Notamacropus eugenii: one gene and its partners. The protein of the gene in region 2 interacts with the protein of the main gene of each other region in a pairwise test. Links are inferred from orthologs where the notes say so. Each region holds a gene or a part of one and is shown on either strand. Other genes may lie near its edges.

Region 1 (7,014 bases), about 440 Mb from region 2:
TATTCTTCACAAATCTCTGATCTACTTAGAAGAAGAATATCAAAAAGTCCTGTTTTTTGCTGTGTCACTAAAGTCTAAAATGCAATACAAGAAGCCCTTGCACTGCTGGGAGGAATGAGTAAGAGGAAGAGGGGCCTTTAAGGACTTTATTTGGGGTCAAAATTTCCTTTCCATACCATTAGTTCTTTTTAACTAGTTCTTTGTAAGTTTCAGTAATTCAATGTGTCATGAAAACATTCTGGAGAATATTTTCGTATGACACAAAGCTTCTAGTTTTTATTTTCTAAAGCTATGGAAAAAAAAAAAGGAGTTGGCTAGTGTAAGACATGTCTAAGGAAAATGAACCACAAACTAATTCTAGGTCTTCCTCTTTTCTACTTGCAAACTATTTTTAAATGGATATAATCTTAAGCTATTCCATTTACTCCCTGCCTTTAAAGTGTTCTAATTTTGAAAGTACCACACTCTGTAGATAAGCAGGGCTAACAGGACTTACTGTTGGCTAGGAATAAGAACCACTTATTTCTATTACTAAACATTGTCAGAGATTCAGGAATCTGCTTCACAATTTTTCTCCAACACCCTAAACCAAGAATTCTTGTCAAAAACTTTTAAATTACTTAAATTGTTCAGAAGGAGCTCTATTTTCTCCAATTAAAAAAGTGCTTCCTCTACAGGAAGTTTGTAAACTGCTTTCTGCATATACAGATTAAACATTTACTTCTCTATACATTTCACAAGAATTGCTTCAGTTACCATTTAACTCTTACAATGCTCCATTAAAGGGGAGGATTCCAATCTCTTACCTAAAATGAACTGGAGAAACAGGCTTGCTTATGGCTATATGGGCTACTTAAAATGTGAAACCTTCTAAGAAGTGTTGTTATTTTTCATTTCCAGTTTTCCTAATAACATTCCCTCTTAATCTTGTTTGAACTGCTTTACATGGAGCAGTGAGATATTTTAGCTGCTGAAGTCTGAGCATTTTTACTATCTCTTAGACACTCATTTTTTTTTAGATAGAAAGCATCTTCCAGAACAAATGAATGGTGCAATGCTGATCCCAGCATGCTCTGCCAGCTTTAGTTGATACATCATTTTTTGTCATCCACCAATAGCAGGTGCAAATTTCTTTTTCTGTGTTTTATGATAAGGTTATTTTTAAGTAAAATTAAAATATAATTCTAGGTTGTGGTAAAGTTAGATTACATCATGTAGAATCATAGATCATTCATGTTAGATGTTAATCTAATATGACCATGTCATTCTACGAATGAGGAAACTGAGGCTTACACTCATTAAATAGTTTTGCAAATGTCACAAAAAAAAAATTAATGGCAGAACCAGGATGAGACCTTAACTAGTCAGACCCCCAATCCTGTGTCTTTCCTATTATCATCCAACTTATTTTGAAATCCAAAGAATGTATTTTATCTTTATCCAGTCCCAAGCTACTTTTTTTTAAAAAAAATCTCTACCTATATTTAGAATACATATGGAGCAAGATAACATATGCACAGAAAATCACCTAATCCAACAAACTAACACAAATAAGAAAAGAATTTTACATTTTCTTTTAAGAAATAAAATAATTTTGATTGTGAAAGGCAACTAACAAACTGCAAACAATATTAAATTAAATTAAAACAGCCACAAAACAAAATCTATATTTTTCTCTTTCCTTTTCATGGCTTCTGCCTATTCCATTCTAAAACAACTTTTTCTACTTTCCCTCCTTAAATCTCCTTACCCCAAAATAGAATTCCTAAATCATTTTCCACTCTCAAATTACAAAATTGTTGTTATTCATCTTCCTTCAAACATCTCTATCTGTGCTGTAGTTACTGCAAGTCAGATTACAATTATTGTTTTGACCATCTATATTATTACTAATAGGTGATATTCCATCATAAACAAATATTGCCAAAATCATTTTAAGTCTAGGGGCACAGTGAAATAATGGATGGAGAGAAGAATTTGAAGTCATGATGACCTGGATTCAGATCCTGCCTCTGACAGGTACTGGCTATGTGACTCAGGATAAGTCACTTTACCCTTTTGGTGCTCTAGACAATTCTCATACTATAAATTGCAGAGAATCTTCATTGGTAGAGAGTTACATCACCTGAAAGTTCACAGTACCAATGACATCACTGGTCCAGATCCTACATTAATCTTTGCTTTCTTTCATGTTGCAACATCTGGAATTTCCAGAGAAAGGAAGAAAGAGAGAAAGAAAGACAAAAAGAAAGAGGGAAAGAAAGAGAGAAAGGAAGGAAGGAAGGAGGGAGGGAAGTAGGGAAGGAAGGAAGAAAGAAAGGAGAAAAGAAGGGAGGGAAAAAGGAAGAAGGGGGGAAGAAGGGAAGGAAGGAAGAAGGGAGGGAGAGAAGGGAGGAAGCAAAGAAGGGAGGGAGGAAGAAAGGGAAGGAAGAAAGGAAGGGGAGGAACAAAGGGAGAAAGGGGGAGGGAAGGAGGAGGAAAGGAAGAAATTAGAAGAAAACAAGGAAAAGAGAAGAAAAACTCAGAGAGAATCAAATAAGAGAATATAATCCATCTCTTCCTAGGAGTCTTTGAGTTGTCAAGTAGTCACAGTGCTAAAGTTTAAGGAACAGCAATCATTGGGCTACACAATCACGTGGAAGTGGTACAGCACTACCTTAACTGCTCTTTAAAAGCTTCTTTCAAGGTTCCAAGCTAGGTAAAGCACCTTTTCTGATTATTTTCTTTTTCATAGACCTCGTAAAACAAGTACACATTTGCTAAAAAGAAACAGGCGTTCTCAAGGCTCTGCTTCCCCTTTCAAAAGTCAAGTCACATGCAGACTGAAAAACTTGTGCCTTTTTTTGCCTCCTTCCACGGTTTTCTATCCTGACAAATTTAACAAACTAGCAACGAATGGAATTTTTTTCTTAAAAAAAAAAAAAGGAAGAGTAAGTATGTTGCTTACAGTTCTTGAATGTATACTAGAATCTTCAGATCGGTCTATCCCTTTAGCTTTCTGCAAGGCTTCTTTTTCAGTGCCTGGGTATGGACAAGTTTTAAAAAAATCATCTAAGTGGGAGGGGCTAGGTTGTGGGCTGGTCTAGCTGGTTGGGCAGATGTTTTAAGGTGGAATTGAAGAAGGGGAAAAGTTAGCAGGGAATTAGAAAAGCAGTCTAGAAATGTGAAGCCTGTGAACCCAGAAAAGTTGTCGAAGCAATGCAAAAAAAAAAAAACCCACAAGAATATAAAATATACGTAAACAAATTCTTTTTACCATTGAGTTCCTTGAAGTAACCCCTGTTTCCTCTGTTTTTATAACTATATATAGCAAGGCAGCTTGATAGCTAAGTAATGAATTATAATTTTGACTTTTAAAGAACATCTGAATTGAGTGCCAAGTAGCTGTCATTTGAATTTAAAAAGCAAACTGCAATCAATTCATATAGAGTATTTAAACTGGTCCAAAGTCCCTAAGTAGTTCAGAGCATCCAAGCTGACTCCAGAAAACTTGGGCCCCTATACTGAAGAATGTCCACTGTTGAATTAAAGTCTGACTGCCACACATTGATGACGTGGGATCCATAAACATTATGCTTTCTATTCGTCGTATTCAAACACATATCTTCCATTTGGTACTTTAATCAGTGGCAATATGCATTTGTGTTTTCTTCTTTACTCTTTGCAAAGAAAATTCCTTGTTAACCCCAATGCCACAGGGCTTCTAGATTCAATTCCTGGATTATTATCTTGTTCTTGATTGGTTTCTCAACCTGATTAAAGGCTGAATTTGAGGGTTCATTACAAATCTATTTAACAGATCTCTCAAAAGATGAATCACATCTTCAATTTCATAAGGTCTTGGTCTGAAGACTGACCAGCATGCCTTGAAAGGTGAAATGTTTTATTACGTATAAGTGGCAAAGAAAATGGGAGTAGAGGTCTCATACTTAACGTTACTTTTATTTTGCTCTAATTATCTTTCCTCCCTCAGGCAGAAGTGAAGAAAGAAAGACTATTTCAATATATAATTTAACTAGAACAAGTATCAAATGCTTCAGTCTGGGGGAGACACAAAGTTGAGTACTGGATATGGAGCTGGGTCTAGACTCTAATTCTGACACTTCATAGTCCTTTGATTTTGGGCAAGTCCCTATACCTTTCTGAGCCTCATGTTTCTTCATCAGCAGAATAGGGCACTAGAATAGAGATTTCATTGGCATGGTGCAAGTAGGTACCCACACAGTCAAGTAGGCAGTATGTATCAGACATAACTTGAACACAGTTCTTCCTTGTTTCTAGATTAACTTTTTAGTCACTCCTATCACATTACCTTTCCATATCTACAATGTAAAATAGGTTTCATGATACCTATTGTTTGGTCATTTCAGTCCTGTCTGACTCTTTGTGACCTCATTTGGGGTTTTCTTGGCAAAGATACTGCTTTGTTGTTTCCTTCTCCAGGTCATTTTACAGATGAGGAAATCGAGACAAATATAGTAGAGTAACTAGCCCAGAGTCACACAGCTAGTAAGTATCTGAGGCCACACTTGAACTCAGGTCTTCCAGACGTTAGACCCAGTGCTATATCTACTACACCACTTCGCTACCCTTCGGGGTACTTATGTAGTCCTTTAAGCTCTGGACGTATTTTCTCAACACCAGATCTCCTTGTATTGAAGAGCTGGGTCACCAGAACTCAACTGCATCACCACTCTATTCAAGGATTCTAGGGGTAACCTCAAGAGGTTCTAATGGTATCATCTGACCCCTATTCTAATTTATTCCGCCAATACCACTGCTAGTGATTAGCAGCCCAATATCACTTAACAGCTTCTCAATCTCATCAATAAATAATTGAAATCAACTAGTTCTTAAAACAGTATAATTACTGAGAAAATTTATCATGAACCAAAGGAAAATACCTTCCCTTTAACTGAGACATAGTCTTCCCTCTACCACCTCAGTCCCTGTGGAGAATGAGCTCAACTTTAAGGTGCTGCCACCAGACTTTGCCCTATCAATGTCCATTCTGGGTGCCATGTGGCTTATGAACAAGTTACTCTGGAGTGGTTGGTCCCTTGACTGCCTGGGGTAAATGACTTCTGGGATGGATCCCTCAGGTTACTCCTTGGGGCTACACTTCTCGCTGGGCTTAGCTAGCCAAACTATGGGACAAAATCAAGTTCCTAGACATCTAGAGGCTCTTTCAAAGCACAGAGTTGCAGCCTAGTCTGGAAGTGTCAAGAATCTGGCCAGTGAGCTGCATAACACTCTGGAGCACTGTCCAAACAAAAAATAAATATTTAACCAAATAGTAAACAATTCATTTAAATTTTATTTATTAAATAATAATAATAATAGTAATGAGAGAGTAAATAATTTAAACTTTATTTTTCAATAATAAATAAAACAGCAAATATTTACAAAATAAATTAAAATATAACAAAACATTGTGTGGTTTGTCCTTTGTTCTCAAAGAAGACCATGACATCAGGAAGATGATGACATGACTTGCAATTGAATTGGATTTGAGTATTACATGTTAAATCTAAGTAAATATGCAACCCACAGGGATCTTATGTATGGATTGGTGGACCTTGTTTCTAGATGAGTTTAAAACCATTGGTCTGGTCCATTCCAACCCCTACACTCATTCACCTAAGAGGAAGAAAGGCTAAAACATGACAGGGACAGAAAATTAACAAATGTTCAAGGCCACCCAGAAGCCCAGATTCGTAGATAAGGGTCTGAGGCCTCTGTTGCTATCTGGGGGCTCGAAGCAAGTTTTTCCCTTGATTACTATCAAGGAAAAGGGAAGTTGATTTGACTAATTACTGTCCTTTCTATGAATATTCACTTCCAGCCCAGCAGCCAATCAAAAGATCTTTCTTCACCACTCAGTAAACAAACAGGAAACAATTGCAGAATTTCTGCAAATTCTCTGTAGAGGAGTGCTGGGGCCCTCCACCTCATCACACGCTTTCAGAAGTTGACTCAGCCAAACTACCATGTGAATTGACAGCAGGAGAAATCTGTTGGACAGGCTCCCAGAAATGGGCCCCCAGGAGCCAGTCCCCTATTACACTTATAATACCTCTTCATAACATTCTTATAAGGGGCAGCAAGGTCGCACAGTGGATAGAGTACCAGTTCTGGAATCAGGAGGACCAGAGTTCAAATTTGACCTCAGATATTTGACACTTACTGTGTGACCCTGGATATGTAACTTAACCTCAACTGCCTTGACAGAAAAACAAAAAACCAACCTGTTATAATAAGAGTATTTCACAAACCTTAAAGAAGTATAAAAGTGTGATTATCGCTGCATTACTACTGTTATATAATTCAATGTCTGTCTATCTTTAAGAAGTTTGTGATCTACTCAGGAAGAGAAGACATAGAGATATGAAACACAGTAAACAATATGATACAGGATGTGATTAAAGGGAAAAGTGAGTGGTACACATAGTGTTGGCTGTGGGAGATGGGCAGCAGTGATCATTCCACATGTCCTGAAATAGTGAGCTCAGGCCACTAGCTTCCAATGTGTTAGAGACTAAACTTAGCTGAAGAATAATACTTCCCACTTTTATGGGACTTCAGAGTTTGTAAAGCCATTGATCCTCACAGCAACCCTATTGGTCGGTGCTAGTATTTTTCCCATTTTGCAGATAGGCAAATGTAGGCTCATTAACTACCGTCCACTAACACATGAGCAGAGATCACTGGACCTGTGGTGGCAGGACAAAGAATGGGTAAATTTTGATGAGTGGAGAAATGAAAAAGATCAAAATCTTGGAATGATTTAGAGAAGACTGATTTGCATGATACAGCACAACAGAGGATAGGTAGGGGTAGAATTAGGATTAATTTCAGAGACATCAAATTAGGGAAGAGCATACAAACATAGAGGATGCTGAAGATGAATTTTAACAAGTTCAAATTTTGCCAGAGCAGGCCATTGATACAGTCATTAAAGTTCTAATTCCACAGCAAACCATAAGAAGAATTATGGAACAAGCCAAGTACTGA
Region 2 (7,881 bases):
TCCCTGGCTCCCGCAGAATTCAAACCCTATCGGATGCAGGAGCCCAACTCGACCCACTGCTTGGCCTCTCCCTTCTAAGGCTCTCTCCCACCTACTCTCTCTTCATCAGACATGAGGACTCAAGCACATATCTCCCCATTTGATTGTGAGCTCCTGGGGACAAGGACTGAGATTGTGTCTTTCTTTGCTTCCCCAAAGCTTAGTACAGTGTGTAGCATATATAGTAGGTGCTCAGACAGTGACAGGAGGCTAGGGGAGGGAGGCCCCAATGACGTACCAGGTGACGCTGCAGACACTTGAGGCTTTTCCCATACTTCAGACAGAATTCGCAGAGATAGAGCACAGGTAGGGCAGTTAGTTCTTGGGGATATGGGGAGAAGTACCAGGGCTTGAGGCGGTGGCGGCCCAGCTCGATGCACTCGATGTTCTTCATGCGGGTAACAATGTCGTCGTGGCTGCGGTCAGACACCAAGCTGCCTGTCATGCGAGGGGCCGACGGGATTCCGTCCGAGCTATCCTGTGAGTCCTGTCGGTGGCCACAGGGCAGGGAAAGGCATGAGCATGCCACCCTCCCCTGACTTGGCTCCCTTTACTCCACCCTTACCAGACTCACCTCATCTGTGCCTAGACAGTTGGACTTCCTCTTCCGTCCTGGCTGGGCAGCCAGTGCCCTCCGGGCTGAACCATTCTGTGGAGACACAGGAGGGGGAAGGAAGGAATGAGCTGAGGGTCTCAAGGGCATGGGCTCAGGGGCACCAAGGGGGTCTCAAGCACACACCTGAGGGAAGACAGAGGCTGGTGCTGTCTCGCTGGGCACGGGAGTTGCTGGTGAAACCACTTCGACTTTCCGTTTCTGCAGAGAGAGACCGAGAAAGGTGGGTCAAAGGGGCAGGGGACCTGGGTCTTGGAAGGAAGCGAGCTCACAAGGAACTGTGGGGACGAGGGAGCTGGGCTCCGGAGCTCCAGGTGAAGAGTGGAATCCGAGGGTACCGTGGAACGGTGGTTGGGTTGCAGGCAGGAGCTGGAGGAGAGGGGCTGGTCAGGCTCGCCGCCGGGGATGGCCTCGCGCTCCTTGGGTAGGTTGAAGCGGAGCGTGATCTGCACCGGGATCGGCAGTGTCTTCCCACTGGCCTGGGCCGAAGCCGGCTGTAGAGATAGGTCCAGGGTCTTCCTCTGGGGGAGGGGGAAGGGAGCGAGGGGGAGGGGAGGAGGGGGCCCCCATCAGCCAGGTGGGTTCACCCCCCCACCCCTTCCCCTTGGGCTGGCTTCCCACCCCAGCTATGTGGGGTTTGGTGACTGAATTTTGAAACCTAAGATTCAGTAACACCACCTCCTCCCTCTGACCCGACCTGAATCTCTACAGAGCCTCTCCAGGCTGCGGCCACTATAGCAGGGCTGCCTTGTTCCCCTTCTCATCCTCAGCCTGCGGCACAGGAGCCCCAAAACCATGGGTTAAGCACGACAGGGACAAGCGAGATGGGGGCGGGGCCTGACCATCCTCCTGGGAACTGTCTCCAGGTTGATTTGGATACTGCTTCTACTCACCACCTCCCTCTCAGGGGAGCCCGGTCTGGACCCAGGGAGCCCATTTTTTGTGGGGGTCTTCGCCTCTTTTTTAGGAAACTGGATCTTCTTTAGGTCCAGCCTGTCATGGGTCACCCACTCATCCAGGCGCTTGTTGACTGCACAGAAGTGGAGAAGTTCTGATGTAAGGTGTCCCCCAGGGCTCTTCTCATCCTCCCAACCCCCGATGCCTGTGATACCCGCCCTGTACCCAAGGACCACTGGGCGTGGCACTCACAGTCTATGTAGTGAACGTAGAACAACTTCCGGCCACTAATGTCCTTCACACTCAGGATCTCGGCCAAAGCTGCGAGGGAGAGGCAGGAGTCTTGGAGGGGTGCTGGGCACAGACCCCACTTTGTCCCTGGGAGCCAGCTTCCTCCATGTCCACCCCCTGCTTTGGTTCTACCCTCTGGAGAAAAGTATCTTCTCTCCCCCTCCAAGTCCCTCCCCAGGATGCCCAGATCACCCCCTCTCCTTAGCTTGGGTCCTGCCCCTTCCCCACCAGTCCCTGGCCCCGCCCTTAGATTGCCCTTGGAATGCCCTTGGAGAGGGGGGGTGCCAAGGACTCTGGCCCCGCCTCTTGGCTCCTAGGGGTCCTTAGCCCCGCCCTGCCCTCCACCCGAGGCATCCTAAACTGGAGACCAAGTCTCACCTCTCCCAAGACCGGGGGTGGGTGGATGAGTGGGTGGAGTCTTCAGGTTCTAGCCACACCCCACCAAGCCCCACTCTGGGAGGTCTCAGGCTCCATCCTTAAATTAGCCACGCCCCTTTGCCATTTACCCCAGGCCCCCTCTCTAATCCCTTCCCAGGAGGTCTCTTGGCCTCTGGCCAGGCCCCCTCCCCGGAGTCTCTCAGACCACGTCCCTCCCTCCCCGAGCCCTGGCCCTCTCTTTATCCTTCCCTCCGAGGTATGTTTCAGCCCCGCCCCTCAGGGGAACCACGCCTATTCGCTCCCCAAGCCCCGCCCTCCCTGCAGGGCTCCAGCGCCCAGGCCCCGCCTCCACGGCGCCCGTTGGCTCCGCCCCCCGTCACTCACGCCACTCATCCTCGTTATCCTGATTACGCCGCAGCACGGGCAGGCGGCAGCCTTCGATGACCTCGCCCTGGGGAAGACACCGCGGTCAATGGGGGAGGCCGGGGGAGTCGCCGCCGTCCTGCGGATGCCTCCGCCCCGCCTCGCCCCGCCCCGCGCCGGGCCCCGGACTCACCACCTCCGCCATCTTCCCTCCCTCCCTCAGGAGCCGCTTCCGGCTCCGCGGGGTGACGTCACATCCGGCGTACCGGCGCCTCCCTGCTAGCAGCTCTGAGGGTGTGGGGCTGCGGGAGGCTCCGGGAGGAGGGGACCGGGGGCGGGAGGAGCCCGCGGCCAAGAACGCGGCCCAAGCGGGGAGGGCGGCCGGCCCTCAGGGGCGCTCGGCTCCGGGTTGGGCAAGCGGCGCAGGAACCACCTCGAGGCCCCGGGCCGGCTCCGGGCCGGGGCGGGGCCTCGCGCCTCGCTGCCTGATTGGAGGAGAGCTGGGTCCTTCACGCCACGTAGTTCGAGCGCGTCGCAGTCACGTGGGCGCGTGACGCGCTTGTTGTTCCGGCCGGGTCCTGGAAGTGCGGGCGGGGCCGGCCTGCGGGGCAGCAGACTGCGGCGGCGGTGCTCCATCCGGCCTGCACTGGGTTCGAATGCGGCTGCTCACCCGAGCTGCCTTAGCGACCTTGGACAAGTCACTCTCCAGTCTGGGCTTCAGTTTCCCCCTCTGTAAAGGGTCGGGGTTGGCCGGGCTGGGCGCCTGGAGTCAGGAAGGCCTGAGTTCCAGTCGTGCCCAGACCCTTGTTAGTCCTGTCACCCTGGGCACATCACTGCGTCTCGGCTTAACGGAGCCCTAACGGCACCTGCCCCCACCCCCGGCCCCCAGGGTTGTTGTGAAGATCGAATGGCATTTCGCTGCCAGAGTGCCCAGTCACGATGCAGCGCAGAGGCATGTCAAACCCAGGGCGCTGCCAACCACTGTTTCTCCCCCAAACCTTCTTTGGACAACCGAGCCTGGGCCGAGGGGCCTGTCCCAAGTGAGTTGTGAGGATCCCCCGCAGGCAGAGTTCGTGTTTGCTAGGTCTTTTTGCTTCCGTCAATAAATCAATTAATTAAAATAAGTGATTGCTTTGTTTTTGATTTACCAAAATGAATTGGAGCAAATACTGACCGGAGAGACCACGGAGGAATACCTTTGCCACCATCACAAGGAATGAACGGGCCTCCTTTGTCTATGGCGGTGAGTTCTCATCCTGGATCTCTCCCACCGTAAACACAAGTATTTCAACAAAATTAATGTGCTTTTGAATTTTTAACGCAGTTGTCAATTTGACGTTTCTAAACCGAAGAAGGAAATGGATCATGAGCTCCTTTGGAGCAGCAGCAGCTGGTGGTTTTATGAAGGGATGTGAAAACGGAATGCTGCAAAGGCTGGGAGGTTATGTGTGACCTTGGTCCGTTCACATCCCTTCCTTCCGTCTCAGTTTCTTGAAGGACGTCTAAGGTGACTCCAACTTCTCACAATTTACCCTCTGAGGCCCTTCCAAGTTCTCATGTTTTGTATTCTAAGGTCCCTCTCAGTTCTGACCTGCCCAGCCAATCCTGACAGTCTACATTCTATGCTCTTAAATTCTCTATCAGGCATCATTATATAGATAGGTCTATATTTACATGTGTACATGTTAGACTCCTATAAAATGTCAGATCTTTGAGGACAAAGAACTTCTATTTTTTGTCTTTGTATCTCCAGTGCCCAAACAGTGCCTGGCAAGCAGTTGGTTTATTGATTCCAAGGTCCTTTTCATCTCTTATGTTCTGTGTCCTAAGGTCTCCTCCAGTTCTGAAACCCTGTGCTAGGTTTTCAAGTCTCTCTGAGGATTAACATTCTCTGTTCTGTTTTGTACTGTCTAGCAAGACTTTTCCAAGGCCAGAGAAAGTAACAACGCTCCCCGCTCTTCATCCCTATCTTCCTGGTATTCCCAGAAACTGTCAAGTTTCAACTCCAACCCCACCTTCTGCAAGAAGCTTTTCCTGATCCCCTTTAATTCTAGTGCTTAACATCTGTGAAATACCTTCTATTTATGTACACAGTATGATGTTTGTATGTTGTCTCTAATCAGACTGTAACACCTCGAGAGTAGGGGCTGTCTTTTGCCTTTCTTTGTATCCCCCAAGCTTAACACAGTGTCTGGCATACAGTAATAGACTAATAAACACTCAGCGGACTTGCAGGATAACATTCCATAGCCTTGTCTTTTAAAAACCATGATTAGACATTTTTTTCCTCTATGTTCTAAGGCACCCTCCCAGTTCTGACAATCTGTGTTCTAATTTCTTTCCCCTTTCTGATAATCTACAATCTAAGTTCCGTCCCAACGCTGCTCTTCTACACTGTGTGACCTAAGTAAGCTCTGACAGTCCATGTTCCAAGGCTCGTACAAGCTTCGACATTCTCTGTTCTACTTTTTAAGACTTCTCCCAGGTAAGACATTCTTGTCTTTCTGGGATCACATATCTGGAGATAAAGGGACCTCAGAAATCAACTAGTCTAACACCTCTACCATTTTATTAATGAGGAAATTGAGGTCTAGGGAGGTTAAGTCTCAGTGGCTGAGGTGGGATTTGAACCCAGTTCCTCTGATTTCCCAACTCATGCTTCTTTCACTATACCAAACTGCCCTAAGGATACATTCAGCTCTGATATTCAGTGTTATCTAGCTAATAGCATTTAGGTTCTCCAGTTTCTGGTCCCTGCTAGTCTGATATTCTCTGCTTGATGCTGTAATGTCCCATCCACTTCAGCAAGTCCTATGTTCTAAGGTCCAAGCCAGCCCTGACATGCAGTTCTCTAAGGCCTTTCAAAGCTCTGACATTCTTTCTTCAAATGCCCTCCTCATTTCCAGCAGTCTTTATTCAAGGGTCCCTTCTGATAGGTTTTGTTCTCAGGTCCCTCCCATCATACACTAACAATCCATGTCTATGTTGTAATACCCATCCACGCTTCAGATTAGTTCCCTTCAGTTTCAGATATCCCATGTTCTGCTGTCACATACTGTGTTGCCTCTTACCATCTCTTAGTATGTTCTAAAGATGCTCCCACCTTAGATAAGCTTTCTCAGAGACATCCTACCTGATGAACAAATGCTATGTTCTGTGCTAAAGTCAAAGCTTGACCTTTGACATTTGAGGTTCTAAGGTCTTTCCTAGCTCTGATAGTCTATGTTGTAAACTCTCAGACAGCCAATACACATGAATTAAGCACTATGCTAAGCACTAGGGATACAAAGAAAGGCAAGATAGTCTCTGCCCTCAAGGACCTCACAATCCCTTTAGGGGTTTCCCCAACATGCAACAAACTATGTACAAACATGCCATATAAACAGGAAAAATAGGAAATAATTAACAGAGGGAAAGCACTAGGACTAAGAGGGAAAGAGAAAGGCTTCCTGGAGAAGATGGGCTTTTAGTTGGGACATACAAGAAGTCAGGAGGCCAGCAGTCGGAGATGAGGAGAGACAATGTTCCAGGCACAGGAGGCAGCCAGAGGAAGTACCTGAATCCAAGAATTGGAGGGTCTTGTTCATGGACCAGCAAAGAGGCCAGTGTTACTGAATCAAAGAGTACAAGTCAGGGAATAAGGTGTAAGAAGATTGGAAAAGTAGATAGGAGCTTCAAACACCAAAAACAGTAAGTAGGACCTGCTCTTTAGGAAAATCATTTTAGCAGCTCTATGGTGGCTGGACTGGAGTGGGGAGATACTTGAGGCAGGCAGACTCACCAGCAACTAATCCAGGCTTGTGGTGATGAGGAGAGAAGGGGGTATAATGGGAAGATGCTGCAGAAGTGAAATCAATCAGAGGTGTTACAGAGGAGAAATCAACAAGAAGGGCTAGAGAGGAGAAATCAACCAGAGGTGAAATGAACAAGGAGGCTGGAGGGGGAGAAATCAACATATTGGATGGGGGAAAGGGAGGGAGGGAGTAGTCCAGAATAACTCCTAAATTGGGAGCCTGGGGGACTGGGAGGATTGTGTTGCCCTCTACAGTAACAGGAAAGTAGGAAGTGGGGATGGTTTGGACAATACTGAGTTTAGGATGTCTACTGGACATCAAGATGCCTTGAAAGGCAGAGATATGAAATTGGAAATCAGCAGAGTTAAGGCAGGATAGGTAAATTTAAGAATCATCGGCATAAAAGTGGTAATTAAATCCATGGAAACTGATAAAATCACAAAGTGAAATGGAGAGAGAGAAGAGAAGAGGGTCCAAGAGAGGAGGGGCCTAGGGAAGAGAGCATGATCTGGAGAAGGATCCAGCAAAAGAGACAGAAAGAATGGTCAGAGAAGAACCAGGAGAGAAAGGTGTCCTGAAAACCAACAAAGGAAACAGTGTCAAGGAGGAGAGAGTGACCACTATTATCAAAGGTTGCAGAGAAGCCAAGGAGAATAAGGAATGAGAAAAGGCTGCTAAGAGATCATTGGTAAACTTTAACATTCTGTGTTCTAAGGTCACTCACATCTCTGATATTCTATGTTCTAAGGCCCTTACTAGCTTTGACCATCAAAGGTCTCCTCATATCTGATGTCCTATGTTCTCAGGTCTTTCCTAGCTCTGATATTCTATATTCATCTAAGCTTTGACATTATATATTCTATATTCTGAGATCACTCCCAACACTGACATTTGGTATTGGATGTTCCCTGAGTCTTATGTGCTGATATTCCACATGCTAAAGGCCTTTTCAGGCATCAAGGTGGCACAGTGGATAGAGTGTGGGGCCTGGAGTCAGGAAGACTCGCCTTGAATGCAAATCTGGTCTCAGACACTTAGCTGCGTGACCCAGAGCAAGTCATTTAACCCTATTTGCCTCAGTTTTCTCATCTGTAAAATGAACTGGAAAAAGAAATGGCAAACCACTCCAGTATCTTCACCAAGAAAACTTCAAATGAGGTCGTGAAGAATTGGACATAACTGAACAAAGGGCCCTATTAGTTCTGATAACCTATGTTATTAAGGCTATCTAGGCTCTGATATTCTGTAGTATATGGACTAAATCTCCTCCCAGTTCTGACGTTTTCTGTTCCCAGTTTTAAGCTTTGTTTAAATCCAACCAGGTCTAAATGAGAAAATGAAAACCAAGATTTCATAGAGAGCTCATTGTTCACCTTTTTCTTCTGATACTTTTATTGATTAAAAAATCCAAATTTTCCACCAGTTTATTTTAGAATCAATTTAGAATTAATATAATTTCCGCATCAGCAAAATCCTTTTACATTAAGAGCTAAGAAAAGCATCTAT
Region 3 (8,013 bases), on a different chromosome or scaffold from region 2:
GACTCTTCTCCATGTTCTGAAACAGAGTAACAAAGTACTACCACCTAGCTACTAGGAGGTACCCTCTCCCAAGTCCTATGTGCTCCCTTTATCTATATCCTGACAATCCCTTGGTCGAGGAAGCAGAGCTAATCATCAAAGGTACTATATCCCATCCCACCTCCTCCTTTCATTGAACATTGTGAAAAGTCATTTGGATTTGAAAGGAAGGGTCCCATTCTTACCTTCTCCAACTTTCCAGACACAGGGATGAGCTTTGGAGGTGGGCCCCTGAGATGGGCGCTTCGGGCTTGCTGCTCTCGGGAATCCTCAGTGTCACTACAGGGGCTGGAGGGTGAATCTCCCCGAAAGTCCTCATTGATGTATGTGAAGCCAGCATTTCCCACAGGCTTTCTGGTGGGTACTGGGGGGCACAGTGGCTCCTGGGCCCTACAACCACCCCCTCGAAGTAGTAGACCATCCTGTTGCCGGAAGAAGGGAGGTCCCGAGGGGGCAGGCCCTCCTCCAGGGCAGGGCCTGCCTGAAATAAGGCTGCTCACACTGCCCATGGTGGGCAGGTGGGGTGGGTGTGAGACTGTGCTCTCAGGGGTAGCTTCCAGGGGCACGGGCAGAGTCTGGACGATTGCCATGGTTGGAAGGACTGTGGCCTGGCCACAGGCCTTGAAGGCAACCTGCTGTGCAAGGAAGAAGGCCATGGTCAAAGCTTCCCATTCCTAAGCCTCTCTGCCAGACCTCTACTTCCCACTATAACCCACTGTTGAAACAGTACCCACCCAAAATTCCTCTGCCAACTCCCCATCCCCAGTTCTTCTCTATGCCCTTGACCCTAAGCCCCAGCCACCACCAAACAGCCCCAATTCTAAGCCTCCTCATCCTAAGCCTGTCCTGTGTCCTATTAAGCCCTGCTTCCAAACCCTGAAAACTTACCTCCCAACATATACACACATACAAACAGATGGACATGTCTAGTTCCTTGCTCCTTGTTAAGGCTAAAGGGAAAGGTCATGACTTCTCATGTCTCTAGAGCTCCCTTCTATCTCAATAGGGGCCAAGGGTCTGAGATAGATTTAAACTTTATGGGAAATAGGCTTCTCTTGGAAGGAGGATGGGAGAACAGAAGGGGAGGAAGAGTACAGAGAGGCTGGAAAAGGTGTCAAGAGCAAGGGCCAGATAGGGGGAGAGAAGTGGCCAAGCCGGCCCAACTGGTCAGATGAGTCTGGGGCCTCCAGGTAGGGCAGAAACCCCAGTCCGAGGTTTCAGGTCTTGCTGAGCCCCTACACTAAGGTCTAGGGCTCTTGTCCCCTCTGAGGTAGGCAGGTCTCTCTGGCTCAGCCCTTAGGAAGGGAAAACTCACTACCCACTGCAAGAGAGACACCACACACATACTATCCCTGTTCCCAGATGGTAATTAGGGAACGGAGAGCTGCCTGTGCCCTTCCTCCTCAAATCATACCAGTCAATGCACTGCTCCCCAAATTAATCAGTGGTCATTTGCCTCCCCATAAAAACCACCTACCCCCAGTTTTCAAGAAGTTGGGCTAGACTGAACCCTAAAACATTTAACTCTTAACCACCCTAGATGTCTCTGCCCCCAAAGAAAATTTGAGGGTTTAATGAACCCCTTCCTAGCTCACCAGGGACACAGAGTTTCCATGACAAACCCTGCCCTATCCCCAATATCACCTACTAAACCTCTCACCATCAGATTAGTCCTAAGGAACAGAGACAACCCCAGTAAGGAAGACTTGTCAGCTATGACCTGTAGAGAGTTCTTAAAAACACAGGCTCTAACTCTCCCCCTCCAAATGTTCCCAGGATCTAGCTGGAGCTAAACCGAGGAGGGTCTGGTGACCCTTGACCCTCAGCTTCATCTCCTTCTTAGGTTGGGAAGAGGAAGTGCCCATCTGGAACCCCAGCCCTTCCTGAGCCCTCCAAGGGTTTTAGACATCTGTTCAAGCCATCAGGACATGATCTGGAGATAAACGAAAGAGTGTGTGCGTGTGTGTGTGCTCTCAACACAAAGCACTGAAGCTGTATATGTATGAATTCACACATGAAGTACGTTTTTTCCCATTCCCCGCTCAGTGAAGGCCACATACAAATCCACTCCCCCCCCTTTTTAAACCTGTCCTCTCCCCATTTTCAGAATCAAACTATCTCAAGAACTGGAAAGGCATTGAGACAGATATCTAGTATAAGGTGAACCTGAACTCCTGGAGGCCCTTCAACTCCACTTCTCTCTTCCTTACCTCAGCCCCTCCCTCCCCAAATGAAAACACGACAGTGGGCTGGTGAAGTCTCTGTGAGAGCATCAGGTTCCCTCCAGCTGCAGCTGAAGACCAGAGAGCCTGATGCACCACAGCTCAGGCCCCGGACACCTCCTGGGGGTGGGGGGGTTTTAAGAAGATGATATGCCACCCTTAAGGTTACCAGGCACAGAGGAGTGGATCCGCCCCCCCCCCCCACAATGGTGGGTGGGTGGCTGTCTTAAGGGGTCACTAGGCGGACTAGTTTTCCCCATCTGCCTCCTTGTGAGCACAAGGAAAGTGCGGAGCGCTGGGTGGGAGGGAGGCAGGGAGACGCGGAAAGCTGGCAGAAGTGGAAGGGGGAGAGGGGGCGGAGACGAGCAGGGCAGCCGGAGTCTGGAAGTCCAGACTAGGCCGGAGCCTGGGGGGGCCGGGCTCCCGCTCTCTCCTTCCAAGCTGGAGGGAGGGGCTATCGGAGGCTCCATTTTGAGCAGCGTCTGTGTCTGCTCGGGGGGAAGGGGCCCCTCGGCTCCCCTCCCCCACCCCCACCCCCAGGTCGGACTTCGGGGCCAGGGCCAGGCTGGGCGCGCTCCAGCTGCCGGCGCCGCCGCCCCCCACCCCCACCCTGGGGGTCTGGAGTTCAGGAAGCTGCCTCCCAAACCCGCGGGGCTGCGGGGCGAGCGTGGGGGAGCGGAATCCAACCCCCGGACACCGAGCGGGAGGCTCCTCTCTGCGCCCCCCGACTAGCACGGAGTCTGCTAACGAAGGGCCTCGGCTGCTCCTAACTCCGGGGGCGCCGCGGCATCCCTCCCCGCGCCTGCCCCCCTCACCTCCGCCGCGCTGCTCCATGCTCACACCCCGGAGGCTCCCTCGGAGCCCTCGCTGCAGCCCGGATCCTCGGACGCCCCGAGAGCTTGACCGGGGCTCCGCCTCCCCTCCCCCCGGCTCCCGTCCCCTCCCCCTCCCTGACCCAAGCAAGGGAGGGGCAGAGCCCGGGGAAGGGGGAGGTAGCCCCGCCCCCAGCGCCTGGGCTCCGACACGCGCGCAGCCCACGTCACCCGTGTTCTGTAAGCACACAGACGTGCACATGTAAGCACGGATGCGCGCTGTTGCTCGCGCGGGATTCACGCACGTCAAACGCGGCCCCAAACAGGTCCGGAGTCTAGAAGTGGGGAGCACGCCTTCCCACGAAGCCACGCGGGGTGTGCACGAGAGCATGCAGAGGTGGGGGGCGGCCTGCGAGGGTCAGCACGGCCTTCCCCCGCCCCAAGGGGCCTAAGGCTGGCCGCTGGCCCGAGTACCAGCACAAAAGGCCTTGCGGCTCCTCCCCTTCCCAGCCCGGTCAGGCCGGCCCGAGCATCGGAGCCCCCCACCCCTTCCCATTCTCCTGCGGAGGGGGGCGGGAGAGAAGGATCCCGAGCGACCCCGACACCCCAAGGGGGGCCTCAGTTGCTGGCGTGACCCAGGGCCGGACAGGGGCCGATGCAGGGGCCCCTCTTCCTGTGTTCCTGCCCCGCTTGAGACGTCTAAGGGAAGGGTCCCCCCACTCCCCAAACTGCCGAAGCAAGACGAGATTAGGAGACCGTGTACCGACGGCCGCGGCCCAGCCCCGGGCACATCGCCCCACCACCACCACCACCACGTGACGGGCCTCCAGGCCTCGGCCCTCGGCCCGGGAGGGGAGGGCGGTCGGACGGCCGTTCTCCCCGCCCCGGTCCCCCGGCAGTCTTGGCCTTCCCAACCTCAGGGCTATTTTTAGCTCCCTGGAAAGAGTCTTGTTTTCCTTTTTTTCCCTCGAAAGGGGAAGACAGCCCCGCCCCGGCCCCGAAGGCACCGCCCCCGTCGGGACCAGCCACGCCCCCAAGCCCTCCCGCTCCGAAAACCTCGCCACTTCGGACACAGACCAGGCTTTCCGCCCATCACTGCCCCATCCTCCGACGGCTTCTCGCTACAGCCCTGCTCCCTCTCGAAGGCCGCGGGCCCGGATGGGCGGGGGGAGCTCTTTGCCCCCACTAGGCTTCCTGGGGCCGAGCCAGGCCTTCGGGTTCGCCAACACCCCGCCCCCTCCCGGCCCGGCGCCCACGTGTCCGCGCGGAGACACGTGATCCCAGTTTACCGCCTGGCCGGCCGGGAAGCCAGAACTGGGCCAAAATCTCCCAGGCTCCGCCCCCGGCCCTATCCCGCCCCCTCCACCCGTCGGGTCTTGGCTAGCGCACGAGGCTTCCGGTGCACGCTCGGGGGGCGCCCGCGGCTTTCTTTGTGCGAGCTGGCTCTCTCGGCGCGCCGGGGGCGGGGGGCGGCTGGGGAAGGTGGGTCTCCGGACTAGTTGGCGCGGCCCGGGCCGGGCCGCCAGTGCTCTCCTGCAGCCCGCAGGCGCCGGCCTTCCCCTCCTGCCGCCCAGTCCGACCTGCCTCGGAGGGAGCCCTCCCCGAGCCCGCACTCACCGAGGGCTGCCCCGAGCTTCTGGCTCAGTCTTCCGCCCGGCTGAGGCCTCCCAGCTGCTCCGCCCGCTGCCATCGCCTGCCCAGGCGGGAGGGGAGGGGCGGGGCGGGGCCGGCGGAGCCGCACCCGAGGGCCTGCGGCGAGTGAGGGCCCCGCCTGGCCCCCGCGACCCGGACCCCGAAGGACTTTGCGGCCCTAGAGGCCCTGCTCGGAAGGAAGACCGAGATCCCAGGACACCAACACCCAGGCCTTAAACTTTAGTTTGGGCCCACAGCGCCCCGCCCCCCCATGCTGCTAGAAGCAAAACTACCCACGGCGGGCCGCTTCCTGCCGCCTCCACGTGCCCTCGCACGGACGCCTCCCACTGGGCGTCCTGGGTCCCTCGGGCGGGGCGGGGGCTGGCCCGCCTTGTTTGTGTCCCCAAGCTCAGACCCTGGTCTGGCGCGTCTTCGGCCCTCCGGGCCCTCCCCCCTTAAGGTGTAGTGACCCAGAGGGACTCGAATTTCACCCGCGTTGGCCGTGTGGGGGTAGGGTGGGTAAGCGGCGGCATGAACAGCTTCGCAGACCTGGTGAAGCAGGGCTAGAACTCCTCGTTCTCGGGCCGGGCCCAGACCATCCTTTTCTCTGGGTCCGTGCGAGGCCTCCCTAAGTATTCTCTTTTCGTAGGACTAGATACCCCGCGCTCTCGTAGTCCTGGAAGTCCCAACTAGCCAAAGCAGGAAACGGGATGGGAATGGAGGGAGTGCAGCAGGCTAAGCGGTCCTGAGGGGCTGAAGCTATTACACTGCCCCGTTAGGACTGAGAGCACAGGGCCCAGGGCTGGAAGCCGGCTGCAGAGGTCAGGGCCTTACAAAAAGCTCCTTAGCCAAGCATTCCCCCAGTCCCTTCAGCTGGTTTTTCAGATCGTAAGCCATAGAAAACAGGAACCTTGATAGTGATTGCTAGCACAGGGCTCAGAGTATAACCGTCAGTTATCAAGTTCTCACTTGAACTCACGCACCAGACTACATCAGGCCCCACCTAGCCCAGGTCTGGGCTTTGGACTCTATCCCCTACTGGAAGGCTAATTTTGAGTATATTGGGTCGTTTTCATCCCCATTTCCAAGGGCCTTTAATATGTGTGTTGAATAGGAAAATGAGTAAACTGAGGCCGATGAAGTAGGTTCTGCCTGGGCCCACCCTCACGTTTTAGTGAGAGAGTTGCAGAAAACCCCACTGTAGATCTGAGGTTCCAGGAACATGTATCTGTTCTTGCATGGGTACAGGGTGTTTGTTAAGGTGTGTGTTTGTTTAAAGGGTGGGGCTGAGGAGGGGAGGGGAGATAAGGGAGGTTGTGTAGCTTCTTTTCCCTGGCCATTCTGGTTTGTACCGCGTGGGTTTTTCTGAATGTGAGGCAGCACCGGTGGCCCAGGATTTTACTTACCAATTCCTCCAAGCTCCACAAAGGGCATCCTGAGGAAGGTCCATTGAGGAATCCATACTGTTCACATAGGCTAGGCTAATCATACACCCCTTCCCAGGGATGTGCAGTTTTGAGGACTGGCTGTACTATAGAGTCTCTGCCTAAGTCTCTCATCCTGGCCAGCTCAAAGCTAGGAATTATTAAAACAAAAGTCTCAGCTCTATCCAGCCTGAGACCCAGAGAAACCAGGAGCTGTATCCCACTATACAACAAAACTTTCTACCTATCCCTGAAAACTGCCCAAGAATAGTCCTTTCCCTCCACCCCCAACACAGCAAGGCTAACAGGAGTGGGGCTTCATCCTGATCTACTCTTAACATTCATCAAGCCAGTACTACCAGCCATTGCCACTCTGCAGATATGCATGTAAACACACAGATGGATACACATAAATGTACTATAAGACTCTAATGGCTGAGCCCAGCCCCTTGAAAGGATCATGGATACTGGCCTGGTACCACCCCTGCTTTCCATACTTTGGGTAGGATGGGAAAGGGATCTGGGATGATGGCAGGAAAGGGAGAGCAGGAAAAGCCAAGTTTACAGGGTCAGATTGGGCCCCCCCCCCCATCTTGATACCATTTTCCTGGCTCTAATTCAAAGGGCTGCTGGGAAGCAAAGATAGAGGGTCTCCAGGTCAGGGGCTTGGGTGGACACCCTCATTCTCTATCCTAAGGATAAGAAACAAGGACAGGAGATGTTGGCATCATGGTATTGGGGGCACCACTGACACCTGGTGGTCATAGGTGGCAATCACAGAAAGCTAAAAATAAAAAATCAAAACATCTTTTTTAATAAAAGTGTAAGAGGGGTAGGGTGTGTTCAGAGAAGACTAGTGAGGGCTGCTCATCCACCTTTGGTGTCTGTTTGATTCATCCCCCTCTCACCTGTGGTTCCAAGAAGTTGTAGCATGCTCAGTAAACCATTTCAGCAGATGGCTAAACTATGTTGAGTGACCAAGGGGTCTTAGGGAGTGACTATCCCAAGTATGTGAAGATTTCCCAGGTGGAATGAGTGGAGAACAATTTATTCCAATGGCCACAATGGCTACTAAAGCAGGCACTATGGAGACATTACAGATGCCAACAGTCATCCATTGCATCTCAGGTCATCATCAGTCATCTTGATTTTGTCTTGACACTGGACTCCGATGACTCTGGAAGAGTAAGGATGATGATTATGTGCAACTCTGCCTCACTTTAATTTATACCAAAAAGACATCACCCATGCTGTTTTGCCATTTTAGCCAAATTTCCAAATGAAACAGTTTTAAATGCCATTAGGTGCCTTTCATATGGCAAAATGCCTGGTGTTGATTGGATTCTAACTGAAATTTACAAGGCAGGGAGTCAACTGCTCATACAAAAGCTGGCTGAAATCTTCCAAGTTACATGGCAAGAGGTGGTTATACCGCAGGACTTCAAGGATCTTTATATTGTTTGTTGCTATAAAGATAAAGGAAATAGATTATCCTGTGACAATCACAGGAGAGTGTTTCTCTTAGACATTGCTGGAAAGATTCTTGATAGAGCCCTACTTAATAGGCTGATGCTTCACCTAGAATACAGTCATCTACCCAAGAGCCATACTGGCTTCAGAGAGAGCTGAGGAATAGGCAATATGGGCCTGACAACTCCAAGAGAGATGACAGTAGAATAGACATCCGTACATGTTTGTCAATCAGACCAAAGCCTTTTGTCAGTTATGAAGGCTTGTGGAAAATTATGGCAAAATTTAGTTGCCCAGAGTTCATCAGTATCGTACATCAACTTCATGATGGCTTGCTTGCATGAGTTCTAGAGAGTGGATAATATCTCCAGCTTTCCCAGTCAGCAATGGAGAAAAACAAGGCTGTGTGCTTGC

Evidence for each region. The genes of interacting proteins can lie anywhere in the genome.
Region 1: the proteins of KAT5 (region 2) and PLA2G4A interact in a two-hybrid assay, tested with the Homo sapiens proteins (2 studies listed by BioGRID). The link is inferred for Notamacropus eugenii from reciprocal best matches to the Homo sapiens genes KAT5 and PLA2G4A.
Region 3: the proteins of KAT5 (region 2) and LZTS2 interact in binary tests that used the Homo sapiens proteins (3 or more experiments, as listed by UniProt). The two-hybrid records come from large-scale screens. The link is inferred for Notamacropus eugenii from reciprocal best matches to the Homo sapiens genes KAT5 and LZTS2.

Annotation. Positions count from the first base shown.
Region 1 is NC_092873.1:458,076,273-458,083,286, forward strand, and holds the start of PLA2G4A (cytosolic phospholipase A2), read right to left. Parts: upstream 3,054-7,014; 5' UTR 2,948-3,053; intron 1-2,947. UniProt on the Homo sapiens protein: Has primarily calcium-dependent phospholipase and lysophospholipase activities, with a major role in membrane lipid remodeling and biosynthesis of lipid mediators of the inflammatory response.
Region 2 is NC_092873.1:18,452,271-18,460,151, reverse strand, and holds the start of KAT5 (histone acetyltransferase KAT5), read right to left. Parts: upstream 3,057-7,881; 5' UTR 2,787-3,056; coding exon 2,775-2,786; intron 2,670-2,774; coding exon 2,603-2,669; intron 1,871-2,602; coding exon 1,802-1,870; intron 1,683-1,801; coding exon 1,546-1,682; intron 1,174-1,545; coding exon 991-1,173; intron 854-990; coding exon 779-853; intron 689-778; coding exon 614-688; intron 527-613; coding exon 278-526; intron 1-277. UniProt on the Homo sapiens protein: Catalytic subunit of the NuA4 histone acetyltransferase complex, a multiprotein complex involved in transcriptional activation of select genes principally by acetylation of nucleosomal histones H2A and H4.
Region 3 is NC_092872.1:178,969,507-178,977,519, reverse strand, and holds the start of LZTS2 (leucine zipper putative tumor suppressor 2), read right to left. Parts: upstream 3,054-8,013; 5' UTR 696-3,053; coding exon 225-695; intron 17-224; coding exon 1-16. UniProt on the Homo sapiens protein: Negative regulator of katanin-mediated microtubule severing and release from the centrosome. Required for central spindle formation and the completion of cytokinesis.